Linked DNA regions of Alligator mississippiensis. The protein of the gene in region 1 interacts with the protein of each later gene in a pairwise test. Links are inferred from orthologs where the notes say so. Each region holds a gene or a part of one and is shown in the gene's direction. Other genes may lie near its edges. The genes, in order: AP1B1, AP1M1, AP1G1 and KIF13A.

Region 1 (7,008 bases):
TTCTGCCTGGCACTATCTCGGAGCGTCTGGAAAACCCAGGCCTTTTCTCTGGGGGAGAAGAGTCTTTCATTGTCTTTGACATAATGTCCTCTCCCAGAAAATGCAAAAGTGCGAGAGAGAACAGCTAGCCGGGAGACTGAAGTGAAGGGAGATTTTTGATGTCTTCTATATAGTACAATTTGAGCAGGCAAGGCGGTAGAAGAGGCAGGATTTTAAACTAGAATCCCGCCATTCTAATAATAATATTAGTTAAAATGGAATCTAATCCCATCTCTAATCTCAGGACAGATGTGGAAGTTGGAGGAGGAAGACCCATAAGAGCCCTGAGAAACTTATTCTGAGGTATATCCACATCATTACTGGCAGCATAGCCCCATTCTTCAGCACCATACAGGATCTGAGACGCAACTTTGGCTTTATGTGCTAATATGGGAGCTTGGACTGATTGTCCTGCTGTGGTTTCATAAAATTTCTTTATGGCCACTGCCAGTTGGGCTGCCTTAGTTTTAACCGACTGAATGTAGTGTTTCCATGATGGAAAAGCTGTAAACATCACACCCAAGTACCTATAGGTTTTAACAACTTCGAAGCCTACTCAGTTTAGAAAAGACACTTGGGAGGAAGGGGGCCCATGATAAAGGTTTACAAAATGCTAAACAGTGAAGGGAAAGTAAATAAGGATTTATTATTTACTGGCCATGTCTACACAAGATGCTGACTGCACAGTAACCTGAGTTACTGCACAGTAGCACCAAAGAGCAGCTTTTTCGTGAAACTACTGTGCAGTAGCTTAATAATACTGGGCAGTAGGGTTGCATCATGGTTGTTACCATGCAATGCTACTGCGCTGTAGCATGAGGCTACTGTACAGTCAGCATCTTGTGTAGCCGCAGCCACTCCTCACAATACAGGAACTAGGGGTCACAAAATGAAATGAGTTGCTACTAAGTTTAAAACTAACAAAAATACATTATTTTTCACACAGCTTGTAATTAGTGTGGAACTTCTTGCCACAAGGTGTTGTGGAAGCTGACAGTTTAGACAGATTCAGAAGTAGATTGGTTAGATTCTTGGAGGAAAGGCACATCCATAGTTGTTGAGCACAAACAGGAGTCAGGGCTACAGCCTCTGAATCAGAACTTCTTAGACTTTAAATGCTGGAGGCTGCAAGTGAGAGAGGAACAGTGGAAAAATACCCTGGCCACACCCAGGTCACTCTCCCATTCAGCATCCATACTCTGCCCTTGTGTGACCCAGGAGTTGGGTAAACTGGACCATACGTCTGACCCAGAAAATAGCAATTCTCATGTTCTTGTGTTCTTGACTGTGCTTCCAAGCCATGGGTGGAAATGCTGGGGCAGCAAGTCTATGGCTCAGTTATCTGTAGTTAATTTCTTATTTGTTGAGGGCACAAGCACAACACAACATGAGAGTGATATATTCTGGAATTTACTGCATAGCAAGAAGACACAGGACCAGCTCTTCCAGGCTAGCCACCCATGGTAGGAGCTGTTGCAGTGCCCAGCTGCTAGGGAGAAGGGGAACTAAAAGGTCTTTGACCAAAAGACTGCCCTGGGATGAAACTAACTAGAGGAGCGGACATAAAACTAGTCCAGTGGTGCTCAACCTTTGGCCCATGGGACCATGTCATCTGACCCATGGGGCTCCCCACGGGTCTGGAAATTGAACAGCAGGAGCAGTGGCAGCATTACTGGTGGCTTCCAGAGCTGTATCAATTAACATTGCTGCCATTTCCCTGCCACCAAACTTCTGGGTTTGTGGAGAGCCCCATAGACCAAACTTGTCCGTGTGATCCAGCCTGAGGGGCTAGAAAGTTGAGCACCACCGAATTGGTCTATCAGTTTATGCAGGTGTCTAGAAGATGCTCCTGACTTTCTGCAGGGCAACTATGCCAGTGTGACTTACACTGGTATAAGCTTCTGCATCATGTCTCCACTTCTCTTCTGCTAGAGAGTAAAGTCATAGAATCACAGACAAGGAGGGCTGGAAGGGACCTCAGGAGATCCTATCTAGTCCAACCCCCTGCTCCAAGCAGGACCATCCCCACCTAGATCATCCCAGCCAAAGCCTTGTTTAACCAGGTCTTAAAAACCCCCAAGGATGGGGAGTCCACAAGCTCTCTGGGTAACCTGTTCCAGTGCTTTATTACCCTCCATGTGAGAAAGTTTCTCCTAATATCTAACCTAAACTTCCCTTGTGGCTGTGCGGGCCGGGCCCCGAGCCCGCCCTCGTCGCCATGCGCGGCGGTGATTCCGATCCCATTCTGGCCGCCATGGGCAAGCCGGGGGCGAACCGGGGTCGTACCAGACCCGTCTCCGGTACACGCGGGCTGTGGCCGTCAGCCCGGACACGCGGGGTGGGAGAAACCGCGGGATGATTTTGTGCACACGAGTTAGAATTAGTCACGGAGGCGTAACGGTTGATTGAAAAGATTGTTTACTTATACCCAAAGATGATATCGGTGTAGGCTGGACAAATTTCCAGGCACAGCTCCCGCTTGAACCCTCATTGGAGGACTCTGACAAAACGATTGCTCCCACGGAGTTTGCTAGGCTCCGCGGATTTTGTTATTCGGTTCCCAGGCCCCCGGAGCTGTTAAGACTCCGTGGGTGCGAAAATTGAGCTCGGTCCGGTGTCTATTCCCCGGAGTTGCTGAAGCTCCGCGGGTCCGGTTAAGTTGGGTTCGAAGTTTCCCCGGAGGTATTCAGGCTCCGCGGGTCTGATACGTTTTCCCCGGAGTTTGCTAGGCTCCGCGGGGTCCGAAATTATAGGAAAGGGATACGTCTAGGATTGCGCTCGGCGACGGGGAGAGGTGAGAAGCGAAAGCTCCGTAGGCTCGGTTCTGTTACCTCTCTCTGCCTGCTTAGGGGAGGCGCGCCGGGTCCGCGAGGGTCCACAGCGCTTGGAGATCTCCACACAGAATATCTCTCTCTCCTCCCTCCTCCGGTGTTATTGGAGTCTTCCAACTTGGGTGGAAACCACACAAGCCTTATGTACGGCTAGCAAGCCAATCGCTAGCTGCCACGTGTGCCTAAATTAGGAGTTGGCCAATAACATGGTGTAGACCCTAATACAGATGGTGGGAACTTCTTTGCAGCGAGCATCACTACGATGCAAAAGAGATGCATACTGCAAAGAAGCTGTAATTTGGCGGGAAATCCCCCATTGCACCAGAGCTCTCTCTAGCAGCAGAGAGCTTTACCGTGCAAAGAAAGTGACAAATTTGGCGAGAAATAATTTAGCAGTGCCAAAGCGCACACACAAACAAGAAGTCACAACTTTGGATTGTGACAGTGGCAACTTGAGACCGTTGCTCCTTGTGCTGTCATCAGCCACCACGGAGAACGGTCCAGCTCCATCTGCTTGCAAACCCCATTTCAGGTAGTTGAAGGCTGCTAGTAAATCCCCTCTTAGTCTCCTCTTCTCTAAACTAAATAAGCCCAGCTCCCTCAGCCTCTCCTCAGAAGTCATGCCCCCCAGCTCCCGAACCATTATCACTGTCCTCTGCTGGGGTCTCTCCAATTTGTCCACAACCTTTCTGTAGTGGGGCCCCCGAAACCGGACACAGGACTCTAGCCTAACGTTCATTTACTCCTTACTAAATACCTCATATCCCTGTCTTCAAAGTCTCCTCCCTTACTGGGCTGCACCAACAGCAATGGAGGATTGTAGGTTTTTATTTGGAAGTAGAGCAGCGGTGCGCAGTCTCTACCCAGCCGCAGGCCACATGCACGTGGGGCCTGTCCGTGGGTCGGGCAGTCCGTTCTGCCACCCGTCCTCCGCGCCCCACCTACAGCTCGGGAGCGGGTCTATGGTGCCCTGGCACTGGGGCATGGGTCTGCAGTACCCCTGCCGCGGCCCCCGCGCCGTGCAGCTGGCGCCGCACGTGGCGGCTCTGCGCAGCCTCCGGCCCGCGGGCAGAGCGCGGCCCGGGACGCGGGACACGCCCACTCCCGCGCACAAGACCCACCTCCCGCGCGTGACCCGGAAGCACTTCCGCTGCGCGCCCTCACTTCCGCTGGGCCGGGGGCAGTGGCGGCCGCGGGTGGAGCAGCAGCGGTGGGGCCGCCGGGTAGGAGCGGAGCTGTTGTTGTGGCTCGTGCGGGCGGCGGGGCTGGAGTCGCTCGGGCTCGGGCTGCGGCGCCTGGGCAGGAAGCGCCGGGAGCGGGACGGGACGCGACGCCTGGGCGCGCGGGAAGCCCCGGCCCCCGGGGGGCGCCTCGTGCCTCAGGCTCGCCCCGCGCCCGGGGGTGGCGCTGCGGGCACCCACCCGCGAGAGGCTCTCGGGGCTCCCAGGGCTGCGCGGCCCCGGCTCGGAATCGCTGCTCTCGTGTCTGTGGCCGGGGGTCGGGCTCGGGCTGTCTCCTTGGGGAGCTGCGGTCACCTCGCCTGTGGCTGATACGGGCAGGGTCCAGCTTCCCAGCTCCCCCACCCTGTTGCACCTGCACGCTCCCTGGCGTCTCTTGCCTGCTCCTTACACTCCTCTCTTCAGAAGAGAGCTTGGTCTCACTGTTCGAGGCCCTTGGCACAGCCAGTAACCGTCCCCAGCGAGCAGAGTACTGTGCTATCTGCATGTCCCGTGCTGCTGGCACTCCTGTGTGTGTGGGGGGGGTGGTGGCATAAGAGCAGTGTTGTAGCTGCGATAGTCCAGAAATTATGTGAGCGGCAAGGGCTTCTTAGGGCAGTGTCTCTTCTTGGACCTGCTAGGGAGGTGGGTTAAGCTAGACAAGCTTTTGGAATGCAAGGCCTTGTGTATAATGCGCGACTGTTTTTCCCTGCAAGGCCACACTGGCCTGATATCTGTAACTGAAACTTCAAGCTGACCTGCAAGCAGCCTACAAGCCCTTCACTTCTTGGGAAGCAGCGTTTTGAAACTCTAAACCTGATCTCTTGTACAGAGCGCAGCAGCCCCCCAGGCTTCGAATTCATGCCCGCTTCTACAAGCGGGATCGAGCAGCCCAGGTAGACCTGTAGGTTTGCTGTCGGCTTCCCATGTGTTCCTGCTGTAACTCTCTCCTCCTTCCCGTGGTGATAACTAACACATTCTTGCAGCTCTTGTCAGGATTTGGTTTTGTGTGGGTGTATAAAATTGGCTGGTAAGTGTGTGGGGGGGGGGTTCCCCCTTGTGCATAAGAGCAGTGAAAGCTGAATTGCAAGGAGAGATGTTTCACTTCCCCACCATCAAATGAAGTCAGTGACATGAATCATTAATTTTATGAAGCCATCAACCTCCGTGCTTCTCCTCCTTGTGGAGCCTACTAGGCTGAGAGCAGGTGCTGCAAGGTCTTTCTCATGCCAGGCTGCTGCGTTGCAGAGCCTCAGTGGCAGAATGAAATTCTTAATATTAATGATTTGAAGGTAAACAGCCTGGAGTTTGTTACAAGATGAAGGGCGATATTGGCTGAGATAACAAATCAGCATGACTTACTTGCAAGATACTGTTACTATGTGGCTGTTCACTGAACTGCATGATGTGAAAAATCATTTGTACTATGGCATTAATTGAGTCTTCTCTTGGTAGTGCCACTGTGTTGGCTGAAGGCAATAGTTCCGTGGAAACAACTTGTGACCCTTGTAGTTACTCCATCCACATGATGGTCCTCACATTGAGAGGAAAGCAGTTCTTTGAATTGGAAGTGCAACCGGTAACACAAGATGTGCAACACTATTTGGCAATCAGAGGTCACAAGCCAAGAGAAACCTAAAATATAACCAGAGCAAAATAAATTTAGCTGCGTAGAAGTACTGATAAATAAAATACACCTTTTGGCTGGGGGCAGGTGACCAAGAGCATAACTGGGCAGCATAGGAGGTAGTGACCTGCAGGTAAGTCTGTAGAGGGGAAGGGGTATGGGGGTGGGGCAGATGGAGGCCCCCACAGTGAGGGAAGGGCTGGGATGCTGCCCAGCCAGGATGGTGAATGGGACTTGGGCTGGGGCGGAGAGTGGGACAGAGCCACAGGCAGCTCATCCAAGGGGTGGGGGTGGCTCCCTGCTGCTGTGTGCCCCTCTGGGAGAGGTTTGTGGGGGGCATATTCTTCCCCCAGACTTATGCATGGGGCAGAGGCAGGTTGCCTGCTGTGGGCTTGGGGCTTCCCACACTGCTGCCTTTGCCCAGGGAGCTGCATGTTGGCTGCACATCCCCTGCCCATCCAGCAGCAGTGGGGGTGGTGAGTTGTGCCTCTTGCTGCTGGGTGGGCAGGGGACATGGCTCAGGCAGCGCACAGCTCCCAGGGCAAAGGCAGCAGGGTGGAAAGCCCTGAGCTCACAGTGGGTGGTCTGCATCTGCCCTCAGCTTGCTTGGCTCTGCTCCTAATATCATCCCTGTGCTTAAAAATGGTGGTGGTAGCACTTGAACTAAAGCTCATTTGACGAGCTTTAGTTCAAGCACCCCCACTGCTATTTTTAAGTGCTGGGACACTGATCCTCTGGATGAGCTGCCTGTATTTCTGTCCCATTCCCTGCCACTACCCCACTCTCTCCCTCACCGTGGGGGCTTCGATCTGCCCCCCTATGCCCTTTCCCCTCCACAGATTAGCCTCCAGGGTGCTGCTCTCCACACAGCCTGGCTGTGCTCCTGTAAGTCGGCTGTTGGATCAGTATCAGCTGATATGCCTGGTGAATAATTGGCTATTGGTACCAGCCAAGAAAATCTTTTTTGATGCACTCCTAATTTATTGTATATAGCCTTGACTTCAGGCTTATAGATGTTGACTTTCTCTCTCTCTGGAAAAGTTGCTACTGCCTACAGTCCTAGAAGCCATTCAGTCCCGAAGCCCTGTTCTTGTGCTAAACTTTCTTAGTGGGGGTGGATGAATCCTGTGTAAATAATAGCAGTTTTCAGTCCTGCCACATGCTCCTTCATGTACAGATAGCCTGAGAATGAAGGGTGTTGTGTTGATGGTGAGGATGTCTGCTTTGCTGTGTCTGAGAGCCAAAGGGTCAAGCTTATCATGGTGCTGACTTCCATTTGTCCATCTGGTGCATG
Region 2 (7,882 bases), on another chromosome or scaffold:
TGCAGACTGCTAAAAGCACTAGGAATATCTTCCTTCCTTTAATAGTCAGCGTCAGCAGGAACCCTAACAAAGGATTACAGTATCATTGAATCATAGAAATTTAGGGTTGGAAGGCACGTCAGGAGGCCGTCTAGTCTGACCCCCTGCTCAAAGCAGGACCATCCCTAAAGTCCAAAGTCTTTTTCTTTTTAAAAGCCACTGTAAACAAAACCAACCCCCCCCCCTCAAAATCAACCCCATATGTGCTAGTAATTAGAGTTTTGATTGTCTCCATTAAAGAGCATTTGAAATTAATTGTTGCAGAGTCATAATTGCTAATTTATAATTAAGTTAAACCAACAAAATAAATGCAACTATCTCATTTCCCCATGAAAACCAAGGATCATGTCTTCAATATATTTATGACATGTTTGCTAAAATGGAAAAGTGTAAATTATACACCCGTTATTTAACAATTTATAATATTTATCTGGTGGGCATAATTTTGAGAAGAATTTGCCCCACTGTTGGTTTTAACAGTGTTAACTAGGCGTTATCTTGATACTCTGATCCCTCTCGGCCTTTCAGGTATAAAACTGAAAACATACTGGGAGGGAGGGAGGGATATAGGAAACTTTCCTTTGTTAGAAGAGGGAAATGCCCTCTGGCTCTGGGTGCAGAGTTGGACACAGACCCGTCGGTTACAGCAGAGGGTTCGATGGGGATGTCAGGAAAAACGTCTTCAGTGTCAAAACAGAGGCAGCGGACCAGACATCTGGGGAACCTGGAGCCTGTCCGCGAGGCTGATGGGCAATGGTCGGAGAGGACCTGTGCGTGCCACGCCTGCGCTCTGCTGTGGGGACTGCCCAGGCTTCAGGGCTTTTCTGGGCCCCATATGGGGCCAGGAGGGAATTTTTCCCTCAGAGGCGGAGAGCCGCTGCAGCCAAGGCTGCGACTCACGGAAAGTCTTGGCCCTCCGCGGGTCAGAAAGGACTTCCCCCCAGGTCTCTGCCGTGTCCCTGGCCCTCTCTCAGGGATCCCTGCAGCTGACTCTGCCTTGCAGCCAGCCGCAGGGCGGTGGCTGCTGTGGGCTGTCGGCCTGCCCGGGGCGGGCACTGGAGGGCCCAGACGGGGTCTGTGGGGGCTGGCCGTGCCCCACAGCTCCTCCTCTCTCCGGGACTGCACCCAGGACGGTCCCCGCGGGGAGCTCTGCGCGCCCGGGGCTGTTGCAGGTCCCGGGAGCCGCGGGCTTCCCGCCGGCCGGCGCCGCGCGCGCGCTCCCTCACTCCGGCTGGGCTGGTTGCCATGGCGCCCCGCCCCGCCGCGCAGCGCAGCCTATCCCGACGCGCCTGGCGGGCGCGGCCCGGAAGTGCTCTCCACCCGTAACCCGGAAGTGCCGCGAACTCGGGGGAGCCATGGCGGAGTACGAGGGCGTCCAGCGCGGCTCGCTGCGGCTCAAGGCGAGCGGCGAGGCCCCGGCGGCGGCCCGGCGGTAAGCACCTCCTCCGGCGAGGGAGGGCGGCGGGGGCGCCCGGCTTCCCGCGCTACTTTTCATGCCGCCGCTCTGGCTCTGTCCCCGCAGGAAGAAGAGGAAGGACAAGGAGAAGAGCAAGATCCGGGACCAAACCGTGAGCAGCAAGAAGCAGGAGGAGGAAAAGAAGCGCGGCCTGGACAAGCGCACGCCCGCGCAGCTCGCCTATGAGAAGATGCAAGAGAAGAGGGTACGGGCCGGGCCGGGCGGCTCCTGCTGCCGGCACCGAGCGGCGGGGCCCGGGTCGGGTGGGTGGGTGGACGGGCGAGTCCGCAGAGCCCCGGCCCGCCCGCACGAGTCCGCGCTCTGCGGGAGTCGGAGCTGCGCACTCGCAGCGGCCCTGACCCAGGTTACTTCCCCGAAAAGATAAAGTGCAGGTTAAAAGGGAGGTGTTTTGTTGCGGTGAAAGGAGCTAGCATGACAGCGACCTGTGTCTGTTTTCACTTTCTCAGCAAATGGAAAGAATCCTGAAGAAGGCTTCCAAGACCCACAAACAAAGAGTTGAGGTGAGGATACGATTAGCCTTGTTCACAGTGTGTGTTCCCTTTGCTGTCTAGTCCAAATTATCCACCTGTCAGGATATGCAATTCAAATAGTTATTGTTCTAATATGTTTGTCTGGAAAAATCTCTTGCCATAAGTAATATGAAAGCTGTAACTTGCATGTTCTGGGCTCTGCTTGCTTTTTTAACAGGAATCAGTGGTGGGTGATTAGCAGGCATCCTGGTTTTCTGTTTAAAAATCAGTTTCTCTGATAAGAGGCAATGTTCTCCAGTTGTAACCTGCAGTCAGCATTTTTCCGTGATTAAAATGAAGTGCTACTATCTATATGGTATCAGTTCAACATCATGTTTTATTGATATATTTACTTTTTAAAGCAATTTGGAGGCCTACCAGTGCCTCAGTCATAAAATAAATTCTAAATACCTATATACTTTAGCATTTGATTTTGTTTTTTTATCATGGAACATCTGAATTCCCCCTGCCCCCTTTGCTCACAAGATGTAGGCCCAGCTGTGGCTGTCCCCTCCACTGCTTTGTAGCACTGAGATGACAGTCCCCGGGCCTTGCTGGTGCACCTCACTCCTGATCTGTTGCCCCCAGCCCCCCAGTGCATAAGGAGGGAGTGGGTATAGGCAGTGTGGTGGGGTGTGGGCATGTGCTGCCCAATTTCTGTGCCCACAGCAGGGCATAGAGTGCAGGGCTGCAGCCTGACCATACCAGCTCTGGGCAGGAGCCACCTATGCAGCCCGGCAGGTGGGACCCAGCATGGGAGAGAGCACCTCACTGCCAAGATGAGGCCCCCTGCCTCCCCAGCAGCAGCAGGGGGCACAAGTCTCTGCCTCTGCTGCTGTTGTGCCTCACCTTGGCAGCCATGGGACTGCATCGCTCCCTCTCGCTCTGGGACCCGCCTGCTGGGCTGTGGAGGGAGGCACCTTCTGCCCAGAGTTGGTCTGGCCCAGCTGAAGCCCTGTCCCTCCGCCTCTGCATCACCTGTACATTTCCCCCACGACTGTTGCCTGTGTCCCCATAGACGTACCTGGCGGGAGATGCTCTCTACCACACTGACTAGCTGATGCATGCATTTCTATGCGCACACATGCATGTGACACCCTGTGTCTTGCTTCCCACAGCCCCTTGCAGGCTGGAACTGTGCCAGCCTGTGAAGGAAACCCATGGCTTCCCAGGTTTTTCCAAAAGCTCTTGGAACCAAAAGTTCTTGCCATCAGATATTGGAATATGTACCAGACTAACTGAGGCATGAATGTAATGAAATGTGATGGATTAGGATAATCTTTACAGAAAGAAAAGTTGATAATAGAGGAACACATCAAACTGGTGGGCTAAGAAAGGTAAATTTGATTGGTATCGTGTATTGTCTTTAAATACAAGAACACAGAATTATTCAGTTAAATTTAAAAGGCTACCAATTGAAAGCTGCTAAAAGGTAACTAACCCATATGGTTAACAGCCACAGGATACAATTAAAGCCTAGAATTCAGTGGGTTTCAAAAAATGGATTAATCATTTTATAATGAGAGGATGTTAGAGATATAAATCCACATGATTCAGATCAAAAGCCAACTGGGCTATCCATTGCATAACTGTCTATTGTACAGCTTTTTGGCACCTTTCTTGGTGGCACCTGGTACAAGATGCTGACTAACGGGATACTGACCTAAATTTTCAACTCATTTAATCTGGAATTACTAAATTTAAAGTAGGCAGAAAGCATGTTCAATATTCCAGAAAGTTGACACACACTTTTTTTTTCTCTCCTAGGATTTTAACAGACACTTGGATACTCTGACTGAACACTATGACATCCCCAAAGTCAGCTGGACTAAATGAATAGCTTTTCTTACTCGGTTCTGGATTATGAGAAGCATTTATATTGGGAGGATTTGCCTAGCGTAAATTTCTGTGATCTCTGCATTGGATACCTAATTCATTTTTTAAAAAACTTTTGCATGCTGGCAGTACTCTTTAAGTGCTTGTTTAGAAATATGTACAGCACACCCCCACCTTTACTGAACAATGAATAAAGGCCCTAATCCTCCATTTATCTGCAGAAGTCCCCTTTTTTAGAGTTTGTAGGAAAACTTCTGGAGAAATTTCATATGTAGGGTGTAACGATCACTGGTTGACAGTGCCTTCTTTTGAAACAAATGTTTTTGACAGTCTTTTTTTAGATGCAGACAAGTTACCTTATTGAATTGTTCCTCCCTGGGTACTATAAACCTGTAATCTGTTTATAACTTTTCTAGAAACTCTAGAAGGTCAAATAAAAACTGCATTTAAAATAATTTTTAAAAAATGTACCTGGTGTAGGGGATGAGGAGGGGATCTTGACAGCACTTTTCCTCTGAGCTAGGCTGTACCTGCTAGCCTGTGTTTGCCGTCTTTAGCGGAACCATAAATGCAGCTCTGAGCACCTTGTAAACGCACGTTGGGGTTGTTCCCTCGCACGTGAACGGTGCCCCTTTCTGAGCCCCCAAATCCTGCTGTGCACTTTGACTTCCTCGCTGGCCCCCGAGCTCGTGTACAGCGCGTGTAAGACGTGGCACAGAAGAAGCGGCAGTGGGAATTCAGTTACTGCTCTCGGCTGTCTGCTGCCTGTGCTGGGCAGGGCCCGCCCGCGGCTCAGCACAACGCAGCGCGGCTTTCTGGGGACAACTGAGCACCGGAGCGGAAGGCTCTGACCCGGCGCCTCTTTGCCGAGCCTTCCCGGCACCGGCACCGCCCCCGCTGGCCGGCCCAGGACCTCACAGCGATGGCGGCGCGCGCGCGTCGCCAACCCCGGAAGAGGGGACGAGGCCCCGCCCCGCGCGCCGGGTCGAGCTTCACAGCTTCCGGCGGGGGCGGAAGCGGGGCTACTTCCGGCCGGAAGTGCGCGGGCGAGGCCGCGGGGGGCAGGAGCCGGCAGCATGTCCGCCAGCGCCGTCTACGTGCTGGACCTGAAGGGGAAGGTAGGCCTGGCTGCGGGCGGCTCCCTGGCGGCCCGGCCGCGCCTCCCCATGTCCTGCCGCCCGGGGCCCGCAGGACAGGCCGGCTTCTCTCGGGCCGCCCCTCCCCTCCCCTCCCCGAGGGCTGGCAGCGGCGCTGCCCGAGGAGCACGGGCCGGTGGGAGCCGCTCCGCTGCGCGCAGGCTTCCCTGAGTCCCAAGGGGCGTGTTTCGCTTCTCTGCCGAGCGGCAGCGCAGGCTCTGTGCTGTCTGACGGCGGGTTTGTGCACGTCTCTAGCTGCCAGGCGTCCGCACACCCTCCTCACGGCGGAGCAGTGCCGTTCTGTCGGTGCAACACTTCTCGGTCCATGTATACAATCTAATTGGAGAGTCGCCCCAAACTTGTTCCCCCACCCACCCAGCTGCAGCAGCAGATGGGGGGGGGGGCAGCCAGCGGGGGTGGACTGGAGCAGCTTGCCTCCTGCTGCCGGTCGTTCACCCCCACCACCCTTAGCCCCCTGCATCCTGATCCCTTTGTGCCTGTCGCCTTCTGGCGAAAGGCTCCCCACAGGCACGCCACCTCACTTCCCACCACCTTGGGGCCCTGTCTTTGCTCCCTTCTGGCCACCCCTCCCTGCTTACCCTGGCTCCAGAGGGCTGCCCCTGCTCCATCCTGGGGCAAGAGCGCCGTGGCCATGCGTGGCGTCCCAGACTGGAGTGGGGACAGCTTGCCACAGCAAAGGCGATTGGGGGGGAAGACAGCAGCTGCAGCTCTGCCCAACCTCCAGTCAGGGTTGCAGCCACAGCAGCTGCCTACTCTTCTCCCTCCATGCCTCCCCCTCACAATAGTTGATCCCAAGATAAGGGTTTTTTTCCCCATGTTAAATGGGAAAAAAATCTTGTCTTGGTATCAAATACAGTGTGTTGTAAATAAAAGATTTCCACAAGCATTTTGTAATTTAAATAACCAAGTGGTTTGTGGTTCCACCATACAAGTATCAATTTTAGTCACTCAAATTAGTTGACCTCCATTTCCAAAGGTCATGTATGTTATTCAGATGACCACTTCAGGTGTGTTGTCCATTTGGTTCTCTATTGTACTCATCCATTGCAGGTCCTCATCTGTCGAAATTACCGTGGAGATGTCGATATGTCAGAGGTTGAGCATTTTATGCCGATCCTTATGGAAAAGGAAGAAGAAGGAACACTTTCCCCCATTCTAGCTCATGGAGGAGTTCGTTTTATGTGGATTAAACATAACAATTTATATCGTATCCTTTGGAGTATAGGCTACTTAATAGGGTGGAAATGTTGACCGTGTGAATTTTCACAATGGAAGTCAGCATGGCGGGGGAGAGGGGGGGAAGGTTTTGCAGAGATAAAAAACAGTTAAGGTCAAATTCCCATTAAATACCCTATGAACCAAAAATATATATGTTTAAGTGCCAGTGCAACCAGTATTTTCTCAATGCTTACCTGTCTTTGCTTTTCAGTAGCTCAGCATTTAGAAATGAAATGGCATACCTAATGAATGGTTTCCTGAGTTTTTGGGTCAGCTACAGTGCCTTAGTAAACGTTTTTGAAAAGGGATTTAAAAATAAAATTAAAAAAATGGGAACTTTGAACAAACATTCCTAAACTTACTTTTTTCAGTTGTTGCAACTTCTAAGAAGAATGCTTGTGTCTCTCTGGTGTTTTCATTCCTCTATAAGGTGGTTCAAGTGAGTACACAATTGATAAAGTACTATTGTTCTTTCAGGGAAGTCATATTGTTGTTTACAGCTTTAGAGGTCTTTGAATTCTTACTGCTGCGTAGAAATAGTACATCTAATTATGCTATGGTTATATTTTGGTGATCCTTTTGCATTAACTACTAATATTTTATTATTGCACATCAGAAGGGCTTTGACAAAAACAAAAATCAATACCTTCCTCATTTCAAAGAGCATATAATCTAAAAGATACCCAGAAAGGAAAATAGGAAGCCCAAAAGGAAAGGTCATCTTTGGGACAACTGCTTTGTATGCACAACTAGCATTGGAAAGATTAGAAAAATGTAGTGGCATGGTGAGCTGAAAAAGGATATAAGGGGCAGGAACAGGGAAGGAAACAAACATAACAGTTACTGTAGAGGAAACCAAAAGTGGGAGATACAGGAATATTGTTGCACAATTACTTGCAGTCAGCCTTGAAAATATGGATGTGACTAGGGGTGCACCGATAAAGACTTTCTTGGCCGGTACCAATAGGGGATTATTCAAGAGGCATATCGGCTGATACCGATCCAATAACCGATTTCCAGGAACACAGCTGGGCAGTGTCAAGAGCAGCTCCCGACAGGTAAGTCTGTGGAGGGAAAGGGACATGGTGGAAGGAAGGGGTTGGGGCAGATCAAAACCCCCACAGTGTGGGAGGCAGCAGGGTAGAGGCTGGGGCTGGAAACACTGCCCAAGCAGGGCAATGAATGGGACCCTGGGGCTGGGGCAGTGAGCAGGATGGAGCTGCAGGCAGCTCATTCAGGGGATGAGCATCTCGGTGCCTAAAAATGGCAGCAGGGGTGCTTGAACTAAAGCTCATTAAATGAGCTTTAGTTCAAGTGCTGCCGCCATCATTTTTAAGTGTGGGGATGCTTTTAGGAGTAGGGTGGAGGTGGGCTAGCTGCTGTGGGCTCAGGGCTTTCTACCCTGCTGCCTTTGCCCCAGGAGCTGTGCACTGGCCATGTGTTCCCTGACCACCTGGCAGCAGGAGGCACAACTTGCCACCCCCACTGCTGGGAGATGGGCAAGGGACATATGGCTAGCGCACAGCTCCCTGGGCAAAGGCAGCAGGGCAGAGAGCCCTGAGTCCATAGCAGGCAGCCCGCCTCCACCCCACATAAAAATCCAGAGGAGCATGTGCCCTCCCATGCCTGAGCATGCATGCAGCAGT
Region 3 (7,982 bases), about 51 Mb from region 1:
AACCACAAGTCTCTGTCCATACCACTACAGCCATGCCATGGTTACATTCTCCCTTGCTTAGTCCCCTGCCTTAGACTGCCGGAAGCCACAGGCCAACTGCCTACCTGTGACACAGCAGGCCTACAAGCTGCAAGCAGAACAGGAGGGACAATGTTTAGGCACAAGCTGGGCACCTGGACCAAATGGTGCAGTACAGGGCAGGCGGCTACCTCTTTGCTGCTGCTGCCCAGGGGACAGGAAGCTCAGGCAAGGTCACTGAGGCTTTAGACCATGGGATTACAAGGACGGGTGGCCTGACCTGGGAAGCTGCAGAGTCAGCACCTGTGCCTGGGCAAGGCCACAGGCATGAAGGCTTGCGATACTCTCCTGATTTTAGGACCAATACGGCAGGGAATGTGACTGCTCGCCTGGGGAGAGGCGGGTGCTGATACTTTGGAAACAACAGAAACCGTGTCCAGGAGTGTTTTGGGGCCCTAGGGCTGGAGGCAGGAGACAGGCATGTGGGAGGGGACATGCTCTGGGCACTGGGCTCCCGTGTACTGTAGAAGCACCAGGGCCAGCTCAGTCTGAGGCACATCAAGGGGGATTTGAGTGAATATTAACAAGCTCCCAGGAACAGCTGCAACCAGTGTTGCAAAACAACATGGGACAGATCAGAGGTTCAGGGGGTGCTGAGCGCCCTGCCCAGGCAGGGTGGTGCCTCCAAGCAGGAGACAAGCCCAGGGTTGAAAACAACAGAGTGGTAACAGAACTAGGGTGAGAGCAGCAGAATCCCAGCAAGGGGATCAGGGCATGTGCCCTCCAAGAGACACCCACCCTCAGCAGCAGGATCTGGACACAGCTGACAACCTGAACACCACACAATGTCTACTCCTGCACAGACAATGCCTGGGTCTTGTCCTTTCTTGACCCCTACACCCATGCCATCCGAGGCAGCTCCATGCAAGGCTGCCGGCATGACTGAGTGCTGCCCGTACAGCGTTATCCCTGAATGATGCCTCAGCTTCAGCCCATGTCCACCTTCCCCATGACTGGTCTCCATTCTGTGGGGTGGCTCGGCACTGGCACCCAGGGAAGAAGCCCCAGCACAGCCGGCACAAAGACACCTATGACATGGCCCAAGGGGTGGCAACGCTACTCTGAACACTCCTGAATGACTGGTGGCAGTGAATGCCTGGCCTAGACGTGGCTCTTCCATGTCTGTAACTTTTCTGGGGACTTCGCCTGGAGGGGGCGAGCAGCCACCGGGCAGACTTCCCTCGGCTGCAGTTTCGTGCTCCCCAGTGGAAGGACAGGTTCTCACGCTCGCTGCTGCTCCAGCTGCCCAGAAGCCTGCCTGCAGCTGAGCCCAGGAATGGGACATCTGAGCCAGAGGGATTTTTCCTTGGAAGCAAGCACATGCGAAGGGAGGTTTGAAATGCAGCCTCGCCGGCTCCTTTGCTATAGCACCTGCCACTAGGAAACACAACCATCGGACTCAGATTCGGTGGCAAGTAATTGCGTTTGGCGTTATCACAGGAACTACCAATACCTCCTGCCACAGCACAGCTGCCTGAGGCCCCTACTTGCCCACACCCCACTCCCCAACCTGGCCCTCCCTCTCTGGTTTCCTTCAACGCTTGCAGGGGTTTTGCTAGCAGAAAGTCCCATGGGACTGAGTGGAGGAGACATGTCAGGGAGAGGCTGTCGGAGAAACACCTGCCCCCACCCCAAGAGCTCAACATGTGACGAAGTGTCCTTTTAAAGTGCATGTGTGAAAAGTGGGGAGGCTGGGAGCGGTGCCCCTGGCCCCCGCAGGGACCCAGCTCCCCACCACCATAGAGAGGAACAAACACTTCCGATACTGTATCTGCTACCTTGGGCTGTGGCTTCCTGGGTCCGCCCCTCCCGCCCCCACCCCCGAGTGCTCCATCCCCGGCCTGCAGGACGCTCAGGCACTCAGGGGCGTGCGAGAGCCCCGAGCTCTGGAATGCTTGTGGCCACACAGCCATGACCACATCCCCCATCCTCCATCCCTAACTCGCCTGTTGCTGCTGCTCCCTGAGGCACTGGAGCCCTCTGGATTCCAGGAGAGGATCTGATCAGTGACTGAACAGGAACCGAACCAGCTCTGCAGGCAGACAGCAGCCTCGCCGGTCAACCCGTCGCTCAGTCTGTGCAAAATCTCCACCTGACAAAGGGGGGCTCAGCCAGGGGCATGACCCAGGTGAGGGCCTCGCAGCGTTACTTCCCGGCATTCGAGCGCCCTTCAATGGACAGCTTCACTTCCTGGGGGATGAAGGAGGGACGGAGCAGGGATGGCCGGGGCTCCTCCCCCTGCGTGGTACATCTTTGGAAGTTGGGGGCTGTCCAGCTGTGCTGGCCACCCGGCTCAGGCTGGGAGGGCTCCGCACAGGCAGCGTGGGCAGCGCTGTCCCTTTCTGCCTGGCTCTTCCTCTCACTGTGCAGAGGTGCAGGGGGGTGCTCTCTGGACCCCTGCACCATTCTGTCAGCTCGCTCCCTGGCAGGCACAAGCTGGGTCGCGGGAGGGCAGGTCGCCTGAGAAGCAGAGTTGCCATTCATGTTCTGCAAGCTGATGGAGATGCAGACATCCCCCACCTGCAGCCTGTGGCAGGGCAGGGCGAAGAGCTGGGCAGTCCGCGCCGGGCTGCAGGAGGACCAGCCCTGGCCATACACGAAGAAGGGGTGCTCTGGGGGCACGTCGATGCTCACTTTGCTCTGCTGCTCCCCCACTACAAAATGCAGCATGACAAACCCAGGCCATTGGCTCTCCTGGATATCAACGACTGTGCTGGAGTCGATCTTCAGGCCCCCGCTCACCTCTGCACTGCGCACAAAGTCCTGGGTCTGCAGATCTTCCACCCGCTTCAGCTCTCCGGTGGCCAGTTGGATGATGGCTCCTTTCATGAAATGGGAAGGCAGATGGGAGGAGCTGGGGGGCTGCACCGGGCCCAAATCCTTGTCCAGCATGTTCCCCCGGGCCAGTGTGTTGGGACTCTGCCGTATCAGGGTCTCTGAGGAGGAAGACCTGATGGGCTCGGACCCGACCGGCACTAAAACCGGCTTGCCGTTGGCTATCGCCATTCCTTTGGTTAGCTGTCTGTATCTGGCTGGCTCCTCGGGGGACATTGCATATGGGCTCCTGGGCTGGCTCTTCTCTGCAGCAGCAGCAGCCGCCTCCATGGGACTCCTCCACAAGTCCCCAGACTCCCCTTGCTGATCAGGGATGTTATGGCAAAGGTTTAAAGGGCTCAGGCCATCCTTCTTCTGGGCTGCCAGAATCGGGTAATCCTGAGAGGCCAACACCCCAACCACCCTCTGTACCTCCAGGTCAGTATCCGGGGTGCTTCTGTGAGCTGGCACAGAGACCTCTGCTCTCAGAGTCTGGTAACCTGAAAGGAACTGTCCATCCAACACGCACTCCACGGCCGCCCCACACAGCTGGGCTTCGGCTTTGCTGCTGGCACAGTCCACAGCCTCGCCAGTCCTCCGCACCACGTGATGCTCTAGATGTCTCTGCCCGCCATTGGCAGACGCTGCGTCCGAATTCAGCTGATTCTCTTGCGCGGGAGGATCCGGGCTTCCAGCGGCAGCAGACATCTCGTACGCAGAGAAGCCCGGGGGCAGCCGGGACATGTGGTAATAAACAGGAAGCCTCCCCTGGGCTATGTCCAAAGGCTGGGCGCCAGCATGGTGCTGGACCTGGCTGGAGGGGGAGAGGGCAGAGGCAGGCTTGCTGAAGGCGTGGGCGGGAGAGGTAGTCGGAGGGGAGGCGGCGGCAGCGGCGGCTTCCTCGGTCAGCAGAGAGGTGTATGGCACGAAGTGGGGCACGTGCGAGGCGCCCAGGCCGGCGGAGGGCGAGAGCAGGGGGCCGGGCAGGAAGCCGGGCGGCACGGCGTAGGGCACGGTGTAGTGCGGGCCCACGAGCTGCAGCGAGGCGGGCGGCAGCTGGGCGTAGTGCAGCGGCGGGTAGGGCACGCCTGCGTGCGGCAGCAGCGACGAGGCCACGCCGAAGGCGGGCGGCAGTGGGCTCATGCTCACCACGGGCGGCGGGAAGGCGGCGGGCGGCACGGCCACCTTGTACAGCAGCCCGTACGGCTCCAGCGGCGGCCCCGCCTCGGCCCCCGGCCCCGGCCCCGCGCCCTCCCCGGCCGGCCCGTAGCGCGAGGGCGGCGGGGGCGGCGCGGGGCTGCGCGCGGCCGCGCCCCGGGCCCAGGCGGGGCCGTCGCCGGGCGGCGCGTGGTTGGCGGCGCCGAGGGGCGGGCGCGCCGCGTCGTGGCTGGCGGCGCCGGGCAGGTCGCGCTTCTTGGGGGGCAGGCACTCCTGGCTCCGCTCGTGCGCCGGCCTCATGCTGCCGCCGGCCCGCGGGCCCCGCCGCTCCGCGCCGCCGCCTGCGCCTCACCTGCGGGGGGAGGGCGGAGGACAGCGTCAGCGCCGCCGCCGCCGAGCCCCCCGGCCCCGGCCCCGACCCCGCTCCCCTCCCCGCCACTCACCCGCCATCGCCCGGCGCCGCCGCCCCGGCCCCCATCGGCCCGGCCCGGCCCGGCCCGACCCGACCCGACCCCTCCCCGCGGCGCGGCGCGCGGCGATGACGTGTAGGCCGCGCGCCGGAAGCGCCTCACCCCGCGGGGGCTGGGGCGCACGGGAATGACGTTTGGCTCTGTGTTGCCATGGCTACCGGGCACCGCCCGGGCCCGGGCCGGCCTGTCGAGCACATCACACAGCGCGCGGCGGCCCGAGCGGGCTCCGCGCAGCGCCGGTGCCCTGGGCTCGTGCCACCTGGCCTAGGCCCGCAGCGCCGCACGGGCTGTCCCGAGGCCGCGGGCAAGGCACGGGGCGCGACGGAAGTGGGCGGCGGGCGACAGGAAGGGGCGGGGCCGGCTGGCGGGCGGAACCTTGGCGCGGGGCCGGGGGGCCCGATCGGACGGGTACAGCCGCGACACCCACGGCCATCAGCGCCTGACGTCATCACTGCCTGCCACGGCGCTGCGCAGCCTCCGCGCACAAGAGAACGCGGCGCTTCCGCCGGGAAAAGGAGTCCCCGGCCCGGCCCTCGCCCGCGCTACGCGCCCGCCGCGCCCGAGGTGAGTGCGCGGGGCGGCCGCGGCGGCTGCGGCGGCGTCCCCAGGGGCGAGCAGGGGCGGGTGCCGAGCGGGCGCCGCCCGAGGGCGCGGATCCCTCCGCCTGCCGTAGCGGTGCTGAGGCCGCCGCGCCGCCATTTTGAACGCCTGGCCCTGCCGCCGCCTCGTCCGCTGCAGGCGCCCGGCCCGGCCCGGTGAGTGCGGCCCCCCCGCCCCGAGCCCCGGTGTTCGCCCCGCCCCGCCCCGTCTCGATCTTCTGCCCCGCCCCGTCCCGCCGCGGCCCCCGCCGGCCCTGCTCTGCTTGGCAGCCGCGCCCGCCTTCCCCGTCCCGTCCTCGGCTTTCCCAGCGCCTCGTGTGCTTCTGCTGCCTTCCCTGTCCCCTCCCGGACAGGTTTTCCCGGCACCAGCAGGAAGCGGACGAAGGTTTTACACGTCTGTCTCGGGGGCGATAGGTATTTCTTCTCGCAGGGGTCCCTCCGGACTGGAGGGTGCCGGCCGCAGCGGGCCATGCGTTCGCCCCGGGGCTCGCATGCGGCGTGCGCGTCCCGCTCCGGCCCGCGCGCGGCGGTCTGCAGGCCGACTGTTCCCGAACAGGCGATTTTGCGCGTGCAGACGGGCGCCTGCGACACGTCCCGAGGGGCGAAGCCGTGGGGCCGCTCGTGTCGCGTTGGCCGGCCGCGGCGAGGGATCCTGGGATGGTGGCACCGTCCCCTCGAGCTTGTCCAGCTCCGCGCGCGTTACAGCGACTGCCGCTTCCTGTTTCGGCTTGCGTTCACTGGCAGGGGAAAAGCCTCTTCGCCGCCGGCAGCGAGCGTGTTTTTCCTGGAGACCGGCTCCGACGTGGCGGCGCTGGTTGTAGCCGTTGTGCGACGCGCGAGGCAGCGGTGTGGAAACGGGTCTCCCGGGGGTGCTGGCGACTTGGGGTGTATGCTTCTTTGCTTACTCCCCGACTTGGCGGTGCCTCTTCCTCCGTGGCGCCCCGGGCCCCAGCACTGCAGCTCACAGCAGTAGAGCAGTTACAGATTTCACTTTTCTATTTAATATATTGCTGCAAAATAACTTGCTTTCTTTTTTGGCTGTGGTGTGTTTCACACTTGGTTTCCCTGGCTTCAGCATCTGTTTTCTCTTGCTACACTGGAAGCTTATTTTATCTGTTTTCAGGGCCTGTTCCTTTCCCCCTGTTGTGTGCACGGTCTTTCTCTCTCTCTCTCTCTCTGCCTGTCTCGCTTCTCGTTATCTGCTTGCATCTGCTCTCTGTGGGGGATTCACTTTACCAGACACCTGAGAGTTCAACTGAGGTGAGAAGTTTTGCTCTCCCAAGTATGAGCAGCATGGACCCCCTCTGCTTCTCCTTTAGGCTGGGAGTTCACCTTCCTACATGGGTGTGATTCCTGGATCTCACATGTATATTCCTCCTGCTAGGTATCTGGTAGGTTTGAGACCTCATCCTAGGATGTACAAGGGAGAAAATGAGCACTTTGCTCTGGCCCTAACAAGAGGCTGGTGGCTGCTGTGGGAATGACTTCTCTGCTAGCCTGTCCTTGTTCTGAACTCCTCTTGGTTTGGAGGGTTTTCTGCTCCAGTGAACAAAGCCAGTGTTGCCTTTCTGCCTACGCCAGCCAAACGGCAAGAGAAGGCAGTCTGATTTTGGAGAGCGCCCTGCACAGGGTCCTGCATAACATCACAGACAGCGAGGGAGGCTGGGAACTTTTCACACGACTCCTTGGCAAAGCTCGGGAGAGCAGCCGGGCCCTAGAGATGGTAGCAGACTTAGGCAGGTGCTGCACTGATTCTTCATGTTTTAGATTTGGAAAGTCACTCTGGACCTTAAGTGGTAGAAGCTTCTTAACACATTTTTGGCACTTAGCAAGGAAAACTTACGTTCCCTTTGAGAGTGGCTGTTTAAGCCCTCTCTGAGGTTTTGGTGATTTCCATAGCCTGAAACTGACCTTCGGTTTCTTACCGTGCTAGGAATAGGCAAACTTGTTTGGAGTGGCCTATTTTAGATCTTTCTCTGATGCTTTCTAGGGCAAAGTGTCTGCTCTACTGTTGTGTCGGCAGCTACATTATTGGATTAGGATTCTTGGTGCTGGTAATTGCAGGACATGTAGCAAATCAAGCTGAGGCTGGTAAGTGGTGAAGAGTCATGGTCACCTGATGAATGTGCCAGACAGTTGTGCTTGAGTTGCTTGTGGGCCCCTCCTTGTGTTACAGGTGGCAGTAATTGGCTCCATGCTTGTAGTTTGGCAGAGGCCACAAGTTGAATGGACTGGGGAAGTTGAAGGCTACATCTGCTCTGAAGGTCATGCTTCCTGGGCTTTGGCTGAGGTCACCTGACAGCATGCAGTGATGCTGCCTAAGCAGTGCACCGTGAGCCCCAGGGTTTCCATCTGGCCTTGAAAAAGGGTTCTTCTCTGCTGGGCTAGAGCAGCAGCCCAGAGGTTCTGGGGTCTGCTCTGGAGCTGAAAAGATGCATCTGTATATCGGAAACCAGAGCTGAGTGTTGATCGTATTAGCAGGAACAGAGGAGAACAGTAAAGGGCAGCATGGTTGTGGTGACTGAGGTGTGGGTACTCTGGCGTTGTAATCCTGCCTGTCTCACTGATTTATGGTGTGGCCTTGGTGATCTCCCTCCGCTCTCCATTGCTTAGCTTCTAAAGGGGTAATATTCACTTGTTCAGCCAACCTGTCCTGATGCAGACACTTGAGCCTTATGCACAGTAAAGATCATAGAGAACAATATTGGTTCCCCCCCTCCACTTTTGGGCCACCTGGAATTGTTTTATCTTCAGAAGACTCTTGCTGCTTCAATTTTTTTTAATGCTGCTGGAGAAGAGTGCTGCTTCCTTTGTGAGGGTGTTAAAGGCCTGGCTTGCAAGAATGCTGTCTTGATATTTAAAC
Region 4 (7,211 bases), on another chromosome or scaffold:
GCAGTAACCCCCGCGGCAGCAGTTCAGCCTTTAACAACATTGACTCCCGAAAAAACAGCTTGCCCTGCAATCACGGTTGGCCCGGCAACGGATGGGCGAGATGTCATCACTAGTCGCATTCGTGCTTGGACAGATCTACAACAATGTTATAAAGAATCTGAGATGGAATCTGAAGAGGCTATAATTTCATGGCTAGATCTTATGGCTACGGAATTTAAATGTGATTAAAGAGTAATCTTCTTTGTCAATTGCTGAGACTGCGTATCCTGATGGAGCCAAGATTGTCTTATGATCGGGACTGTCAACACCTGACTAGGCCTCAGGGCACCAGATGACGTGGATCCGATCTCCCACCACTGCCACCGAGAAACCTAGAGGAGCGATACATGTTTGGATTTTTCCTACAGCGTTCTGGACTTAACAAGCGGCAGCTTCGGATTTTAGGGGATGCAGGCCAATGGCAATTAGCTTATGAGTTAGGTTTCCGGTATTTGGAAGAACCAGATGATGAATCTTCGACGATCTCGTCTAATTAAGCCATAGGAATCGTTTAAAATTGTTTAAGTTTGTTAAAATAGGTCATTAATCTGTTTTGAGAGTTTTCTGTTTACAGATCCGGAATTCAGAGCGTATGGCGAGGAGGAGCCTTAAGAGAGATGACATCACTGAGGAGAGTGAGGAGACGTGTGACCTCGCCACGATGCCCATTGAAGCCCTGATAGTGCAATTTTGTTATGAATCAGATTGTGTTTATGTTGATTATTATTTCTTGATTGTTATGTAACTTGATCCCAGGACAGCGAATTTTATGTTTGTGTATTTGCTTGATGGCTTGTTTACTCGTTGGATGATCACGACAAACTTCTAGATTGCTCGAAAGAGTGTGGCATAATTTAGCTATGCTCTCAGCAAGGGGGGATGTCACAACCCAAAGTTGTGATTTTTTGTTTGTATGTGCGCTTCGGCATCGCTAAATTATTTCCCTCCAATTTGTCGCTTTCTTTGCACGGTAGAGTTCTCTGCTGCAAGAGAGAACTCTGGTGCAACGGGGGATTTCCCGCCAGATTATAGCTTCTTTGCAGTGTGCATCTCTTTTGCATCATAGTGATGCACGCTGTAAAGAAGTTCCTGCCATTTGTATTCGTATTCGCGCCACATTATTGGCCCATTCCTAATATAGGCCCACGTGGCGGCTAGCGATTGGCTTGCTAGCCGTACAAAAGGCTTGGGTAGTTTCCGCCCAAGCCGGAGGAGGGAGGACGAGAGAGATTCTGTGTGAAGATCTCCAAGCGCTGCGGACCCTCGCGGACCCGACGCGCCTCCCCTAAGCAGGCAATAGAGGCAATAGAACCGAGCCTACGGAGCTTTCACTTCTCGCCTCTCCCCGTCGCCGAGCGCAATCCTAGACGTATCCCTTTCCTGTAACTTCGGACCTGCGGAGCCTAAGTAACTCCGGGGAAACTTTTCGAACCCAATTTAACCGGACCCACGGAGCCTAGCAAACTCCGTGGGAGCAATCGATTTGTCAGAGTCCTCCAACGAGGATTCAAGCGGGAGCTGTGCCTGGAAACCTGTCCAGCCTACACCAATACCATCTTTGGGCGTAAGTAAACAATCTTTTCAATCAACCATTATGCCTCCGTAACTAATTCTAACTCACGTGCGCTAAACCACCCCGCGGTTCTCTCCAGCCCCATGTGCCCGGGCTGCTGGCCACAGCCTGTGTGCAACGAGTACGGGTCCGGTACGACCCCGGTTCGCCCCCGGCTCGCCCATGGCAGCCAGAATGGGATCGGAATCACCGCCGCACATGGCGATGAGGGCGGGATCGGGGCCCGGCCCGCACAAATCAAAGAACACATTTGTGCAGGCCCGGCAGGGGAAACGATGCTGAGGGGAAACCAGCACGGGTTTGTCACAGGTGGAACCAGCCTGACAAACCTTGTAGCCTTCTATGACCAGGTCACACGCTGCCTGGACGTGGGAGCCGAGGCTGATGTCATCTTCCTGGACTTTAGGAAGGCCTTCGACACAGTTTCGCACCCTATCCTCATTGGGAAGCTAGCAGACTGCGGAGTGGATGCCTACACGGTCAGGTGGGTGGCCAACTGGCTTAGGGACCACACCCAGAGAGTGGTGGTGGATGGTTTCTTCTCGGCTTGGAGGGAGGTGGGCAGTGGGGTCCTGCAGTGTTCGGTCCTTGGACCGATATTATTCAATATCTTCATCAGCGATTTGGATGAGGGCTTGGAGAGCAACCTCTCCAAGTTCACTGATGATACCAAGTTATGGGGCAAAGTTAGTACACCAGAGAGCAGGGAGCAGATTCAGGCTGACCTGGACAGGTTGGATCAATGGGCAGAGAGAAATAGGATGCAATTTAATAAAGATAAATGTAAGGTACTCCACCTGGGAAGGAGGAACCCCCAGCACACCTATATGTTGGGGAGTGTCCTTCTCAGCAGCTCGGAGGCAGAAAGGGATCTTGGAGTCATAATCGACTCCAAGATGAACATGAGCTGGCAGTGTAACGAGGCCATCAACAAGGCCAATCACACCTTGTTGTGCATTAGCAAGTGCATGACTAATAGATCAAAGGAGGTGATGCTCCCCCTCTATGCGGCACTGGTCAGGCTGCAGCTGGAGTAGTGTGTCCAGTTTTGGGTGCCGCACTTCAAGAGGGACGCAGGGAATCTGGAGATGGGTCAGAGGAGGGCCACTCACATGATTAGCGGCCTTTGTGATAGACCCTACGAGGGAAGCCTGAGAGAGCTGAATCTCTTCAGCCTTTACAAGAGACGGCTGAGGGGAGATCTTGTGGCCACCTATAAACTTATTAGGGGAGGTCAACGGGGAATAGGGGAAGCTGTTTACTAAGGCGCCCCAGGGAGTGACTAGGAATAATGGGTGTAAACTAATTGAGATTGGATTTAGGTTAGATATTAGGAAGAACATTTTCACAGTAAGGGTGGCCAGGATCTGGAATGGGCTTCCAAGAGAGGTGGTGCTATCACTTAGCTTGGAAGTCTTCAAGAGGAGGCTAGATAGTCACCTGGCTGGGGTCATCTGGCCTCAGTCCTATTTCCTGCCAGAGGCAGGGGGTCAGACATGATATTCTGTTGTGGTCCCTTCTGACTCTACAATCTATGAACCTATGACACCCAGATGGGAGGGAGAGCAGGGCTCCGCGCTCCACTCCACCGCAGCAGCCGCTGCCTGCTATAGGCGACAACTGGGACTTTGACGCTGCTGTGGGAGGCAGGGGGCTGTGGACCCAGGTTCCTGGCCCTGTAGCCCTGGCAGCTAGGGGCCCCCTCCAGCAGGGCTGGAGCGGCAGGAGGCTCTTGGTTGTGAGTGAAGGGCACTGGCAGGGCTGGGGGGCTGCAGGGTGGGAGTGAGGAGCATAAACAACAGTGGGGGGAGGCTATGGGGGGAGCAAAGGGTACCAGCAGGGGTGGGCAGTGGCAGTTTGGTGTTTTTATCAAAGAATTTGTGATTTTAAAACAGAGGAGACCCAGATCCCCGAAGTAATCACTTCTATTCTATTTTCAGTTCCCTTTGTACTAAATCGTAACATTTTGTTTGCCTTTTAATAGCTGCTGGGTAGTCAGCTGTTGTTTTTGGCCAGTAGCTCACCATGATTCCCAGATCTTTCCCCTGTGGCAACCCATCACGTAGCCCCCATCACAGTGTAGGGATAGTTTGGGTTATTTTTTTTGCCCTGGTGCTTCACTTGATCCTTAGCTACCTTGCATTTCACCCACCATTCAGTTGCCCAGTTGCTAAACTTTCTAGATCCTTCTGCAGCCCTTCTGCCAAGAGGTGTGCTGCAAAAGACCACACCTCAGCCCACCCCTCCTTAATCTTCCTGCTTTAAACTAACCCTGCTCTACCCCTTCCCCATTGCCCACCCTCCTCACTGCCCTCCAGAGCCCAGCTCTGAGCACGTGACACGGGACGAAGTGCGACGCAAACACGTGACGGGCCAACCGCACTTGCGCAAACATCCGCACGAGGGGAGGAGGGGCAGTGTGCGCATGCTCAGTCATCCGCACCTGGGGATGGGCGAGGCTAGTTTGCGCATGCTCAGAGATATCCGCACCAGGTGTGGGGAGCCGGGGGGGCGGTTTGCGCATGCTCGGGAGGCGGAGACGCCTGCTGTGGGTGGGGCGAGGTGGTGCCCGCTGGGCGGGGCCCCGCGGCCCCGCCCCGGCCCTCGCTCGGTTCCCGAAGACACTCGGCTCTCTCCGGAGGCGTCCGTACCCCGTCTTCCCCCCCCCCGCCCCAGTCCAGTCTTCCAGGGCTGAGGTTTGGGCGCGGGGCCGGCGCGGCCGCAAGATGGCGGCGGGTGCCGCTGAGCAGGCGAGGCGGGGGCCGGGCGCGGCCTGAGGGCGAGGGGAGGAGGCGGGGGCGGCCGGGGCTGCCCCATCACTGGCGCCGTTTCGCCCAGCCACCCGGCATGGCCCGGCAGCCCCGGCCGCTGAGGCGCTGACCGTCCTCCTCGCCGCCGCCCACCCGCCTGGCCATGGCGGACACCAAGGTGAAGGTGGCCGTCAGGGTCCGGCCCATGAACCGCCGAGGTGAGCACCAACCCCCGCCCTACCCCCCTCCTGGGCGCCGGGCCGGGGGCAGCGCGGAGTCCTGTCCTCCCTCGACGGCCATGGGTCCCCTGCGGGCTCTCTGCGGGGTGGGGTGCCGTCGGGGGACGTGTGCGCGCCCTGCTGGGCATGGGGTAAGGGTTGAAGAAGGGGGGCAGGGAGTGTGGGGGTGCTCTCTGCTGTGCACGGGAGGAAGGGGGGATGTGGAGAACCCGCTGGGGGGGGAGGGGGAGTGAGTGACCGCGTGTGTCCTCTTCTGTGCAAAGGGAGGACATGGACAACCTGTGCATCTGTGTGTGTCCTGGGGTTGTCCACTGCTTTGCATAGGGGTAAGAGGAGGATGTGGAGAAAGGTGGGTGCGTTAATGGGCTTGTTCTTTTCTGTGTATGAGCAGAGGGAGGATGTGGAGAAGCTGGGGGTGTGTGTATGTGCAGAGCCATCCCTTAGGGGTGTGTGAAGTCCAGGGCATGTAAGTAGGGTGGGGGGACGGGTGGCGAGCGGCCAGAGCATGGAGCTGGCGGTTTGCTGCAACAGAGCTGGTGGCACACGGTGGCTGTGGCTGGGCCTGTACAGCACTGTCCATGGGGCCCCCCAAAGCACAAGGCTTGGGACAGATGCCCCAATTGCCACCCCCCACCCGGGACAGCTCTGTGTACATGTGTGCATGCTGATGTAGGTATGTATGTCTCCTTTTGCATGGAAATAAGGAGATGTGGAGAAGCTCTAGGCATGTGCATGTGTGTATATATTTGTGTGTGCGGGGGTGTTCCCATCTCTATATGGGGGTGAGGGGAGGATGTGGTGAAGCCCTGGGGGACGTGCGTGCATGCATGCACATGTGCACGGGGAGTGTCCCTTTCTATGCATTGGGGTAAAGGGAGGATGTGGAGAAGCCCTGTGAATGTGCACGTGTATGCATTTGTGGGTGTATCCTTCTGTGCATGAAAGCAGGGGGAGGATGTGGAGAAGCCCTGTGTGTTGTGGGGGAGGGATGTCCCCTTCTGTGTTTGGAGGTAAGGTTAAGATATGGAGAAGCCCTTGTGGTGTGTGTGGGGATTTGCAGGGGTGTATGTGTGTAGTGTGTGTTCCCTCCTGTGCCTGGGGGCAGAGGGAGGATGCAGAGAAGCCCTTTGGAGTGTGGGTTTGTGTGTGGGGGTCCCCTTCTGTGCATGGGGAAGTGGGGAGGATGTGGAGAACCCCTGGGGGTAGGGGGGAGGCAGGCTGTCCTTTGCAGGGTGACCATGTAAAGAAGGCACATTGTGGGGAGGGAGCTGTGCTGTGCAGGGGAAGGGTGTGAAGAAGCCTGGGGGAAGAGGGTTGTGGAGAAACTTTGTGTGGCGCTGTCCCCCTCTGTGTAGGGGCAGGGTATGCAGAAATCCTTGTGGAGAGAGTGTGTGTCCCCCCTTTTGTGCATGGGGCCAGGTGGAGGTTTCTCAGACAGTGGGTAAAACCCTTTCTGTCCTGCTCTCTTCCAGAGCTGGACTTGAATACCAAGTGTATTGTGGAGATGGAAGGGAATCAGACTGTGCTGCACCCTCCGCCTTCCAACACCAAACAGGGAGAAAACAGGTAAAAACACAAAAGAGATTGCTTCCCCCGGCCTATGTCTGACCCTGCCTAGCTTGGATGAAGCAGTGGGTTAGGACCTTGAATTGTTTGAGCACTTTTGTTAAAGGAGCAGCAGTTTCTCAAATCACTCTGGGTCTCTTTTGGAGGCCGTTGCGACTGGCTAGAAAGGAGTCTGATGCTCTTTTGCTCACAGCATTGTAAACTAGGGTTATTCTCAATGGAATTGCATCAGTGAGACATTGGATTTAGGCCCCAAGTTTCTGGTTCCAGGAACCCTCGGAGGAATTAGGAGCATTGGTATTATGTGTGTGGACGCAAGGCGATCACTTGTAGACTTCACTGTTCAAAGTTGATTGTTTCGTTGACTATTAGATAAGGTAGATGATTGGTCAGCTATGATTGTTGGTAATAGTTTTGGCCCTTTCTGTCATAGGGACACTGTTAATGAGCTGCCGTAACCTTCAGGTTTGATTTACGAAAGCAGAAGAGTGCTCTGAATTTTGCAGATGCTAGGGGTTGTTTTTTGGGTTTTGTTTTTTTTAAAGACTGTATTTCCTAGGTTGCAGCATAGTTGCATTTGAAATGTTGGAACTGCTGGATCCCTTGTTAATGCTGTGCTGCTCTATGAAGTACTAGAGGAGTGTGCTAAAATAAATGGGAAAGTTGGCATTAGTTGTGAAGCCCCTATAAAGACTACTTTTGGAAATGGTCCAAAATACCAGTGCACCAAACTAAAAATAGATCGGAACAGGAAAGACTTCCCCACGCCCCCAAAATAGGGCAAAAAAAAAGTGGGGAAGTGAGAGCAAGAGTTGCATTGTGTGCTGATCTTTTCAATTACTTGTTGACTGTACTTGTTGCTCCAAAAAATATTTTTAGTTAAGAGCAGAAATTTGGGTAGATATAGCTTATGGGTATTGTCTTGTAACTTTATCCCCCCTATCCAATAACTGTAGATGCTTTTTGTTTTTTGGCTTGGCTTGGCTTTGAAATCTGTGTAAAGCAGTGGTCGTGAAACTAGTTGATTGCAATTGACTGGTGGAT

What was found.
Region 2: the proteins of AP1B1 (region 1) and AP1M1 interact in a two-hybrid assay, tested with the Homo sapiens proteins (2 studies listed by BioGRID, with this or other methods). The link is inferred for Alligator mississippiensis from reciprocal best matches to the Homo sapiens genes AP1B1 and AP1M1.
Region 3: the proteins of AP1B1 (region 1) and AP1G1 interact in a two-hybrid assay, tested with the Homo sapiens proteins (2 studies listed by BioGRID, with this or other methods). The link is inferred for Alligator mississippiensis from reciprocal best matches to the Homo sapiens genes AP1B1 and AP1G1.
Region 4: the proteins of AP1B1 (region 1) and KIF13A interact in binary tests that used the Homo sapiens proteins (3 or more experiments, as listed by UniProt). The link is inferred for Alligator mississippiensis from reciprocal best matches to the Homo sapiens genes AP1B1 and KIF13A.

Annotation. Positions count from the first base shown.
Region 1 is NC_081833.1:26,528,798-26,535,805, reverse strand, and holds the start of AP1B1 (AP-1 complex subunit beta-1), read left to right. Parts: upstream 1-4,002; 5' UTR 4,003-4,093; intron 4,094-7,008. UniProt on the Homo sapiens protein: Subunit of clathrin-associated adaptor protein complex 1 that plays a role in protein sorting in the late-Golgi/trans-Golgi network (TGN) and/or endosomes.
Region 2 is NC_081839.1:225,084-232,965, forward strand, and holds the start of AP1M1 (AP-1 complex subunit mu-1), read left to right. Parts: upstream 1-4,872; 5' UTR 4,873-4,937; coding exon 4,938-4,979; intron 4,980-5,904; exon of another isoform or gene 5,905-6,068; coding exon 6,069-6,225; exon of another isoform or gene 6,226-6,607; coding exon 6,608-6,675; exon of another isoform or gene 6,676-6,762; intron 6,763-7,882. Other genes in the region: protein FAM32A, read left to right, coding at 1,395-1,471, 1,562-1,700, 1,963-2,016, 3,793-3,861. UniProt on the Homo sapiens protein: Subunit of clathrin-associated adaptor protein complex 1 that plays a role in protein sorting in the trans-Golgi network (TGN) and endosomes.
Region 3 is NC_081833.1:77,568,219-77,576,200, forward strand, and holds the start of AP1G1 (AP-1 complex subunit gamma-1), read left to right. Parts: upstream 1-4,966; 5' UTR 4,967-5,084; intron 5,085-5,171; exon of another isoform or gene 5,172-5,275; intron 5,276-7,982. Other genes in the region: ATXN1L (ataxin-1-like), read right to left, coding at 2,224-4,350. UniProt on the Homo sapiens protein: Subunit of clathrin-associated adaptor protein complex 1 that plays a role in protein sorting in the late-Golgi/trans-Golgi network (TGN) and/or endosomes.
Region 4 is NC_081826.1:127,634,167-127,641,377, forward strand, and holds the start of KIF13A (kinesin-like protein KIF13A), read left to right. Parts: upstream 1-4,196; 5' UTR 4,197-4,525; coding exon 4,526-4,580; intron 4,581-5,089; exon of another isoform or gene 5,090-5,274; intron 5,275-6,073; coding exon 6,074-6,167; intron 6,168-7,211. UniProt on the Homo sapiens protein: Plus end-directed microtubule-dependent motor protein involved in intracellular transport and regulating various processes such as mannose-6-phosphate receptor (M6PR) transport to the plasma membrane, endosomal sorting during melanosome biogenesis and cytokinesis.